2 linked regions of the Danio rerio genome follow. The protein of the gene in region 2 interacts with the protein of the main gene of each other region in a pairwise test. Links are inferred from orthologs where the notes say so. Each region holds a gene or a part of one and is shown on either strand. Other genes may lie near its edges.

The links.
Region 1: the proteins of lzts2a (region 2) and ttc23 interact in binary tests that used the Homo sapiens proteins (3 or more experiments, as listed by UniProt). The two-hybrid records come from large-scale screens. The link is inferred for Danio rerio from reciprocal best matches to the Homo sapiens genes LZTS2 and TTC23.

Annotation. Positions count from the first base shown.
Region 1 is NC_133193.1:22,229,955-22,235,460, forward strand, and holds part of ttc23 (tetratricopeptide repeat protein 23), read left to right. Parts: intron 1-259; coding exon 260-365; intron 366-2,605; coding exon 2,606-2,736; intron 2,737-4,157; coding exon 4,158-4,307; intron 4,308-5,506. UniProt on the Homo sapiens protein: Participates positively in the ciliary Hedgehog (Hh) signaling.
Region 2 is NC_133188.1:20,793,917-20,800,020, forward strand, and holds the start of lzts2a (leucine zipper putative tumor suppressor 2a), read right to left. Parts: upstream 3,791-6,104; 5' UTR 3,629-3,790; intron 1-3,628. UniProt on the Homo sapiens protein: Negative regulator of katanin-mediated microtubule severing and release from the centrosome. Required for central spindle formation and the completion of cytokinesis.

The DNA of each region.
Region 1 (5,506 bases), on a different chromosome or scaffold from region 2:
AAGAAAATGAATGAATGAATGAAAAAGAAATAGAATGTTATTGTTTGCTATCATTTATATTTTCCAAATGTACCTAAAAAAACACATGGGTCAGAATGTATGCATCCATATTGAATTGTATTTTAGACATCCAGTGTCAGATAGTAAAATAGATAGTCTTTAAATCTACCCCGCAGAATGATTTAAGATTGTAACTATTGATAATGTTTGCTGTGTTCAGGCTGTGTGTGATTTATCTGCATTCACGTCTCTCTCTCAGGCTCATTCCATTGCTGTTAGTCAGAGTGCTGGAGGTCTGGAAGGGGCTCAGATCACTCACAGTTTGGCTCTGGCCTATTCCTCCACTTCAGAGCCTCAACACAATGGTGACCTAATGCTTTCACAATAATCTCACAATACTGGGAGTTTATGACACTCTGAGCAATATTATTATATTAGGAAATATAAAATGTGAGCTGTCCTTTAGATAACTTAGATGTTTAGATGTCTTCATTCAAAGTTGTGAATTTACTTTATGTGCAAAATTCATATTTTGCAAAAACCTTTTGCAAACAAGACAGTTTTCATTTTATGTGTTTAAAAGAACAAAAAAATCATTACTTTTTGGAAAACTAGTGTGATACAGCAGGGAAAATAAGTATTGAACATGTCACCGTTTTTCTCTGAAAACTGATTGTTGGGTTGCTGTGTTGTTGACTTGAAATTTTCCCCTGGTGTTTGTAACAATCAAAGATATCCATGTATGCAAAGAAGACAAATTTAATTAGTTACTAATTGAGTTATGCATAATAAAACGAAATGATGCAGGGAAAAAGTATTGAACACATAAAGAAAGGGAGGAGTAGAACAGCAGTGAAAACCCAGACAGCAGCTGATATCTCCTGGTAGTAATGTAGCAATTCTTTGCCCTTTGTGATTGTAAATTAATATTAGCTGATTCAGTCCAACATCTTCATTAGGATGATGGATATGCAATTAGGGTGGACATTTCAGCAAGACAACGATGTGAAACTCAGCCAAGGAAACTCTCAAATGCTTTCAGAGAAAGAAAATCAAGCTGTAGAATGGCCCAGCCAATCACCTGACTTCAATCCAATAGAAAATATAAATTAAAATCAGACTTGATATAAGAGACTTATAGAACCATCAAGATTTTTACACTTTGTTAAATCTGTGACTGACACCTGAGCAATTAACGTGATTTCATTTTCCATATGAAAGTTGTCTTTAAGCTGCCATCAACAAATGAGCCTTTTATATAAAGTATTCAATTCCTTTCAGTACTTGTTTTACTTGTGTCATTTCATTCTTATTACACAGAACTAATTTTTCAGATTTTATTTTGTTTTTAATTATTTTTATTTTTGTATTGTTTGGATTTGTACCAAAATCTTGTTCAAGTCCATGTCAACAGCTCCTTTAGAAATATTATTCCCAGAAAAAAACATGACGTCTTCAATACTTATTTCCCCACTGTATATGAATATTAATAATAAATGATTAAATAAAAAAATGAATTAAAAAAAAGTTGTATATAAGATTGCACCAGACAACATTGAGGCTGGTTCTTTGAGGTGTAGGCTATTGGCCTTATTCTGCAGTGTGGAAGTTTGCTCATGTTTGTGATCGTTTCAGAATTTCCGATTCAGTCGCCTATGGGAGAAATGGCTAGGAATAATAAACGGAAATGGTTTGACTACTTGCTCTACAAACAAGCGTGTTCATGCATGTAAGCATAAAAAGATGAATAATATAATAAGAAAACATCAGTTTGCAGCATAATGAGCTGTTTTAAACATCTAAAAATTAATTGAAGTGAATGAGACCGGAAATCTTAAGCCAAAAACATTCCAATGACTATGCCCACTCGTACATGCAGAATAAGGTCATTATACTGCAGAAAATCATTTGATGATAGAATTTCACTCATGTTTTGCAGAATTATTAAAACAATGTTTGAGATAGTGTGAAATGAGATGGTTTCCTGTTAATTCTAGTTATCCAATCACTGTTGATTGCTGTTGAGGCAGAATCTAACTTTACTTTCTTGATCCTCATCAAAATATTTATTCTGTAAACATGTTTATCCATTCACCTATTTATCAGATTAAAATGTATCCAACTCAATTTCAGTGTTGGGTAAAAAAAAAGTAATAATTTGCTATTTGAAGCCTTACTCAACACTAAAAAAACAAAACAAAAATAGCATAAAATAACATACTTTTACATTTACTTGAAAAATAAAGTAAGAATTTTAGTTTTATTTACAGTCACTTAAGTTACTTTTTTCCCCAATACTGCTCAGTTGTCTGCAGATGTTTATTATGCACATTTTTACAATTTATGTGAATCTCTGTGTTTTTTTTATGCAATGTCCTTAGCTAATGGCGGGGTTGTACAGTATACAAGTGTTTAGCAGGCAATACACAAGCACACCCTTTGTGTTACCTGTCCTGCATAACAAGTACACCAGTAGAGCTAAAGGTGACCTTCGGCTAATCAAATAGAAAACTTGACAGTATTGGAGTGGCTCTTCGATGGAAAGTGGACGCCTTGTATGAATACTACATTACTGTCATTATGTGCATCTCCTTTTCTCTTTCAGTAGATTTAGCAGCACGGTATTTTGAAGAGAGTATAAGTGCATATAGAAGTGCACTCGGCCCACAGGACAAACTCACACTGTCTGCTCAAGACGACTTCAGTCATTTTCTCCTACTCACAGGACAACACGAGGTCAGCTTCAACTCATCTTTGTAATCTGTGTAATATGGAACAGATGTGTTTTGTATTTGAAATATATAAAGTATGTACTACTTTAAGTTTTTTTTACATTATAAAGCACATTTCTACACTGTAAAAAACAAAAAAAACAAAACAAAACATTGATTCTAATTAAAGTATTAAGGCAGCCAGCTTTAGGACATTTTTGAGTTTACTCAATTAAAATCGAATCAAGTGCAATGCTTGAGTTGAAAGTTGAGTCAACTCAAAAACGCTCTGCAGCTACAGTAGTTGCTTTACAATTTTGAGTTGAGTCAACTTTTTTTACTGTGTATATGCAGCCGAATCTATAGACAGACTGTTTTGACGCTGTTATGGATGCAATTAATTTCACAATCATATGCAAGGTGACTGAAATTGAAATGAAAAATTCTAAAGATACTGAGCCATTACTAGTTTAAAAAGTAAAAACAAAACAATTATAATTTAAGGGAGAACATTAATATTTAAAAAAAAAAACTAAACTGAACTGAAACTCATTTTACGTTAATTTTATTATACTTTTTTTTGAAGTAATGTGTTACTTACTCATTAATTTAAAAAGTAATACTATTGTTGTAATATTTCTTGCTTTAATTGTAATGCGTTACCCAACATTGTAAGTATACTAAATGTTTGCAGATTAAATTGGACATACAAAAAATATATCAGTATAAAGATTTAAGTGACAATATTGTTACATGTTGTGATGATGCTACACAGTTGAGATTTGCAAGTATAAATGACAGTGGACTAGCAATCAGTATAATATATAAAAACCTAAAAAAACAAACAAAAGGTAAACAATAGTTTTAATTTTTTATTTATCATTTTTTATATTTTTAATTCAGTTAATCAAATGTAACAGTAAATATGAAAATAATAATAATGAGGGCAATTGTGGCGTAATGACTAGGAGTCAGGCTTGTAATCCAAAGATTGAAGGTTCGATTCCCAATAACATCAGGAATCAATGAGGGAAGTAAATGAATGGCGTGTGTACTCTCACTCATAATGTGTGTGTGTGCACATGGATGGGTCAAATACAGCAGACCAGTTTTCAAATATGGGTAAAAGCATACTTGACTATTCCTAATATATTTTCTTTTCATCAAATGCTGAAACTGAAACAAAACTGTTCTGTACATTGATAATAGTAAAAACAATATTGACTACTATTTAGAATCTTGTAGGATGTATCATTTGTACACATTTTGGTATGTGTTTGCAGTTCTAATTGAATCCAAATGGGATTGGGAGTGGGTAAAATTAACTGGATCTGCACTTCAGATTTCTAAACATCCTATAATATGGACATGCTATTTTTTAATATAATTTAGGATGGATAAATGTAGTCTATAAGCACTGTTGGTGTATTTACTGTGTGTTTTCAGAGATGTGCTGAGATCCAGAGAGAGTCTCTGTCCCTGAAGAAGAGCACGTTTGGTGAGCTCAGCACTGAGGTAGCAGAAACGCTGCAGCTGATTGGTGGAGTGGAGATGACACAGGGTCACATGAGACACGCCCACCGGACACTCAAGAAGGTGACTCAAATCATCATTCTGTTGCATTCATAGTAAAACATTTCTTTTTGCAGTCTAATAAATTTGGGATGAAATATAAATTGCTCTATTGATACTGTTGTGAATGAATCTCAATGAATCATTCATGCATTTACGTTTAAATTATTTTTCTTAGTTTGAAAAGTCGTAACTTGATCTTTCGTTAAAGCAGACCTCTCACTGGTGACGTATTTCAAACTTCCTTCTTACACTGTCCCAAGCAGATGCAGAAAATGGCCATTTTTGTCCTTACAAGTTTTTTTAACGATACTTTTTTTTTGAGAGTGAGTAATTACTTAATGTTAGTGAGACATGTAATGTATTTATATAACGCATTTATTGTGTATGGCCATACACCCAATGTGCTTCACAATCATGAGGGGGTTTCTCAACACCATCAGCCAGTGCGCAGCATCCACTTGGATAATGCTATGGCAGCCACAGGACAACAGCGCCAGTGCGCTCACTACACACCAGCTATTGGTGGAATGAAGAGATAGTGATAGAGCCAATTCGGTGGATGGGGATGATTGGGAGGCCATAATGGGTAAGGGCCAATGGAGGGAATTTAGCCAGGACACCGGGGTTACACCCCTACTCTTTACAAGTGCTATGGGATTTTTAATGACCACAGAGAGTCAGGACCTCGGTTAAATATCTCATCCAAAATATGGTGTTCACTGACGGTATAGTGCCCCCTTCACTATACTGGGGCATTAGGACTCACACAGACACCCCCTGCTGGCCTCACTAACACCACTTCTAACAGCAACCTAGTTTTCCCATGTGTTCTCCCATACAGGTACTGACCAGGCTCAGCCCTCCTTGGCTTTAGTGAGTAACCGGTCTTGGTCTTATGGCATAAGTTTGAATATACTTTTTGTGAACTTTATTGTCGTAGTGATACCAATAATGCATGATACAAACAACAGATGCTATAAATATATAAGGGAAAGAAAACATGAATGTAAATACTGTCAATCTAATATGAACAAACAATTATATGTTGAATTTTGGTATCAGTCACTCAGTATTTACTTTTAATCATGTTAAAATGGTTTAATACACTTTAATGAGATAATTTGCAATGTTTACAGTCCCCCAAATATGATCATCTTTGTGCAAAAGGGTTCTGTATGGTTTAATGCACATTGTGGTTTATACTTATTATTGCTATGAAA
Region 2 (6,104 bases):
TGTTTCTGACAAGCCATAATCATCAGTCTCATGATCAAACTGAAATCACAGTGCAGATATGCACTGCAGTCGGGGGAAAAAAAGTGGCACAACGCACATACTGCTAAATTAATTCCACACCAGCGCTTACATAACCAGCGGCCTCAGACAAACTATGCCAGCATGAATATGTAATTCATCACAAAATTGCAGAGATGGTGAACCACGCAGGAGCCACAAACAGAAAAAAGACAACCTTGAAGCTGCTCGTGAAAACTTGCAAACATGCCACAGGGGGACCAGCCACAAGAGGATGTGGACATATAGAGACACCATCCCGACAGATTCCAGCCGAGCTCAGACAGGGAGCAAAAAGAGTGGCATGGAAAGCTGTGATTCAGTGCAGTTAGCAGAGACTGACTCGACGTTAATGAGCTCTCCCTCTGTATATACGTCTGCAGGAAGCTACAGTCTTACATAAACACTTGGCGTATAAAGGCTTCTCATAAATGGAAACAGTAAAAATGATAGAACGAGGTGTTTTAGAGACCTTAAACCTGTGAGACAAGGCTAGCCGGCGGGGCACGTAGTGTCCTTACGAAGACAGTGCGCTGACCACATTTACTAACGCTGTATTTCAGAGCCCTCTAACATATGAGAGTGATTTAACTCATCTATTATTTTCCGACTCACTGACGCAAGCACCTTTCCACCCCCCTAGGTGATCTCATCCGGAGCAGAGTCTGGACGCTGCTGACACGCAGTAACAGGCCACTCTATTTCAGGCTTTTACTGTATAAGAATGTGCCATGAGCTGAGTCACATCCACTTTAAACACAAACGGGAATCTTAATATACTTGGGTGGTGGGGGGATGGGGGGGTTCATTCAAAACTTCATCCCATTCGAAAACAAAATGTCAATAGATCAGGTATCATGCTGTGCAAGAAGCTTAGTGGTGTTTGACTAGTTTGAAGAAGCTTTATGTAAGCACTGAGCGAAGAGTGATTGGAGTGTGTATGTGTGTATTCTGGACACCGGACGTTCCAATCTGGGCCAGTTTTTGAGAAGTCATGTTACTTTTTAATTTATGGTCACAAAAAAGCAAAAATATACTAAATATTTGCAATAAACATAAAGTCGCCTAATAGAGAGTTTCACAGTGATCCCATAGAAGAAATATTTTTAGTCCAAAGATCTAAAAAGTAGATCAAAAAGACAATTCATTGGCATTGATGCTTCCATTAAACATTGTTTACATCGTCAACATAAGGTTCTTTTTAGCGGAAATGGTTTTTAACAGTACAGTAAAGGCATTTCACACACACATAAATGATTCCTTTTGGAACTCTTTACTGAAAAGTTGTTTTCAGTAATTTTGTATATGGGAGACGTTCCCATGTACAGAAGTTTGCATCAGCTGGTAAAGACCTTCAACCCACCTAGGTAGGTGTGGCTTTAACACTACTCTGAATTTAATTTCCTCTGTTTAATCCATCATTGTCAGACAAACACAAGTAAAATCAAGCACTAAAGAGCAGTTTTATAGTGGATACTAGGGCTGGGCGATAAAATTGATATCGATATTTATTGACGGAACCACCATTGTCAATATCGATAAAAAAACGATTTAGAATTATTTAGTTCCGGTATAAAGCACTATAGTTTTATTAAAAGTGGCTGATGAACGTGTGCCTTGGAAACAGTGCCAATAAGTTTAGGGTGAAAGTTTGTCATTTCCAATGAAGTCGCGCGACTTGAGCGACGCGCCCATGTTGTGCAGGTGGTGCACACATACACATGTGAACCGTGCACATTTTTGAGCCGCATCTACAGTAGTTAAAAACATTTGAACTTTTCTGAATGCTGAGAGCACACCGCCATTCATGCTAGTAGAATTAACCAATCTGCCTCACACTTTGTATGGAATATACACATTTCAGTAATAACGGCAGACTAATTACCTCAGACAAACACAGCGCAGCCAAACACTGCAGTGCTTTTTACTTTTCTCCATAAACTTGTTGCAGCAATGGTTTTTCTGCAACCATTCCAGATTCCAATTGGAACCAATTCCAGAAACCATGCGCGTGCACTTGTTACTTAAGGTTAGAATAACAACACATGCGAAAATGAGTGCCATATAGCAGCATTGAGGAGATTATAAACAATAAAAGATGTAAAGATGTCGCCAGAGTGGCTTTTTGGTTTCTTTTCTTGTGCATCCTAGCCACTAGCTCCCCATCTGAGACATGTTTTAGCGTAGGGGTAATGTAGCCATTTAAGTATTTAACAATTTGTATTGTTATAATATGTATTTAAATAATTTGAGTTTTACTGCATCATTATTATTGACATCTTACAGATGTTGTTCTACCTTTATCATTGCACACACTTTGTAGCATTTTATTCATCAAGTTTAGGAGTCTCTTTAACACTTATTTATTTTATTATAAAGAGATCAGAAATTTTGTTTAAATATTTTTGTTTTTGACTATTGAACATATTTGCCTTAGTAATGTTGGCAAATTAAAATAAAATGGTTTAAAAAAAAATCTAATATTCCTAAATGTATTTTGTAAGATAATTGTCAATATCAGATGATATGAAACATGATATTGTGATAATATGTTTTGCAATATCACCCAGCTCTAGTAGATACTGATGTTCTGAAAGTTACTGTAGATACTGAAAATATTAATGAGCAACACTGACACCTTTTCTCTATATAAACTTTGCTGTGATTGACTGGGGACACTTTCACATCAGTATTATCAGATGATTTCTGTACATTTGTTTGAATAATTTCAACAAATTTTAGGAAAGAGGAAAAATAGCGCCAAGCTATTTTGAATTTAAAGTTCTATTTTTTTTACTCCTAAAAGAATTGTAAAAAATGTTTTAGTATATATGAACCTGAAGTGTAGTTTCAAAACATTGAATTTCCACAAAATGGTCTCCACAAAACAAAACCAAACCGCTTAGTTGACTCCTGTAAATCAATCCACTCGCAAGGCCCTGCTTTCAAACAAACAAACCAGCCACAAAAACTTAACAAGCTCAACAAACACTCTTTACAGCAGATATAAATACCTATAGGTGACAAAAAACACAAAAGACGTCTCATTTATGTCTTCTAGAGGACAGTGATGTTAAAATGAGAGTAAACTGAGACTTTTGTTTACGCCTCATGCTGCTTATATGGTTTTCCTGTGGGAATCTCACATGTCTCTCTCTGGAGAACCAGAAAAGAGCACAATATTTGACAAGATACCAACGTTTGTAACAGTCTTACTGTCTTAATTTTGTCTTCATTACTTCAAACATTTTAAAGGAGACATCTGGTGACAAACTTAAATGAAGCACAACAGAGTTCACTATTGTATCTTTGTATCTCTGATAAATCAAAACAAAAGCCCAACTTACTCAGCCCCCAAAATAACACAGTATCATTAACATTCTCGCACAGCAGAAAGCACTAACAGTGCTGCTAAAACTTCAAAGAGCGTCTTCTCACCCCAAACCCTATCAGCTTTAAGAAAGTTAATCATTCATTTCACATCACTTCAAAGCTCCCGTGAGCTGCAGTGGTAATCTGAACTCTCGTGCATTCGCAGGCTGCAATAAATCCAGTGGTGTTGCTGACATACCCATAGTGCTCTGCATGGCTGCCTCCTCGCGTCTCCCCAGCCTGTCCTGGAGGTACAATCCCAGTCAGTTCACTGTACTTCTGCTGCTTCTCCTCTCTGTATCACTTTGCTTCTCTCCTACATGCTCATTCTCCGTGCTCCTCCTCCTCATGCCAAAGTTTGCTCTCTTTTCTCTGGCAGAAACCCCCTTCCTCTGTGTCCCGTCCTCTGCTGTTTGCCGCCAGCACCGCCCCCTTCTCCTGCTACCCTCCTCCCATTCGCACTTTGTCTGTGGCCCCTTCCTCCTCCACCACCCCCATCCTCACACACATTTAATCCCTCCTCATACTTGCTCCCTTTTTTCCCCTTGTCTTTCTTCTACCTTTTGCTGTTCTTCATCTCTGACCACGACAGTGTCTGTGGAAAATGGACGACTGCTGTGCAGTTTTTAAGTCTGACATTCAGTGGCTACTTTAAACTTACTGGGCAGGCTGTATCATATTTGATAAGAAGATTTGAAGGGTTCTAAATTGTCAGTGTAATCAAAACTTTGTTGGATAACTCTAGTGTACAATTGACTATATGCCTTCTGTTGTCTTCTTGACAGTTGTGTAATAAGTTTAAGGTCCTTTAGAGTCATTTCTGAAAATTTCCCTTATCAGGACAGGTTGTGGTTTATTTGTCTTTATGTCACATCTTTAAATGATGGTATGGTATGGTATTAGAGGAGTAGCCTTGGATTGGATAATTAGTTATTTAAAAAATAGGCAACAGTTTGTGGAAATTGGCAACCATAAATCATCATATTTAAATGCAAAGTGTGGCATACCACAAAGATCAGTTTTAGGTCCAATATTGTTTATAATTTACATTAATAATATGTGTAAGATTTCAGAGTTGTTTAAGCTTATTTTATTTGCAGATGATACAAGTATCATTTTGTTCTGGGCATAATTTACCAAAATTTATGGAGTTGATTAAAACAAATTAATAAATTGAAATTGTGGTTTGACGTAAACAAATTGTCATTAAATATAAGTAAAACAAAAGGTTTTGTTATCTGGGAAATTAAAAAGTAGACATAATATAGATTTCCAAATTGATAATAAAGTATTTAAGTATAGAGATTATGCAATTATGTTTGTTGGTTTTATATTGGATCATAAAATTAGTTGCGGAAACCGCAAATAAATAATGTAATATCAAAAATAGTAAAAACTGTAGCAATAGTGTAAAAAGCAAGATTTATACTGGACAATATATCAATGTATATATTATATAACACACTTATGTTGCCATATATGAGCTATTGTGTGGAAATTTGGGGGAATACATATACCCCAATATATATATATATATATATATATATATATATATATATATATATATATATATATATATATATTCCCCAATATAATATATATTTACTTACAATCCTTATGTACAATGCAGAAAAAAGTAATTAGACTGATAGAAAATGTGGGGTATTTGGAGCATACAAATCCTTTATTTTTTTAAATTGAAAATACTTAAGTTCAATGATTTGGTTGAATTTAAAACAGCACAATTAATGTTTAAAGCTGGGAATAAAATACTTCCTAAATGCATACAAAAGTTTTTTGAAGAAAGACAAGGGGGATATAATCTGAGAGAAAAACATAATAGGAGGTTGAAAACAAGGACAACTTTAAAAAGTTTGTGTATGTCTGTTTGTGGTGTGAAATTATGCAACATTCTGGAACAGATTTTCAAACAATGTCAGGATATTACTCAATTTTAAAATTTGTATAATTATACATCATTAAAGGAATATAATGATGAAGGTGATTGAAAAAGGATCAAATGAGAAAGGTATGATGAAATTTAAATTAATGGCTATTTGCAGTACTATGTATTTTTTGGGGGTCTATGTTATAAAAAGTAAATGTACAAATAGAATCAAACATACAATATGTCAAAGATGCCAAAAGGATTAAATGTGTCTCATGTAAAAATAAGAGATAAGTAAAAGAAGAAATAAGTTTAAGTGATGAATGACATGTGTGGTAATGGAGTGGGAAAATAATAAGCTTGTGCTTCATCTTGCTCCATTTTTGACCATGTTGAAATGTATTTTCGAAAATGAATAAATCAATTCAAATCAAATCAAAATGAAATACCTTGAAAATTATTGTTGCCAGAGTTTGAGATGAACACTCTAAGGTATAGATCCTTTGAGTTAAACACAAAATAACATATTATGAAGAAGGCTGGAAACCTGTAACAATTGATTTCTATGGTAGGAAAAACTATGGACATCAATGGTTACAGGTTTCCTGCTTTCTTCAAAATATCTTATTTTTTTAAAGAAAAAAGAAACTCAAATACATTTTGAACAAGTGAAAGATGAGTAAATTTTGGATGAACTATCACTTTAAGCCCAGAAATACTTATATTATGTCAAATTAGGAACATTAATGCAACAGTTAATTTTTTACAATGTTTGACACAAGTGCTG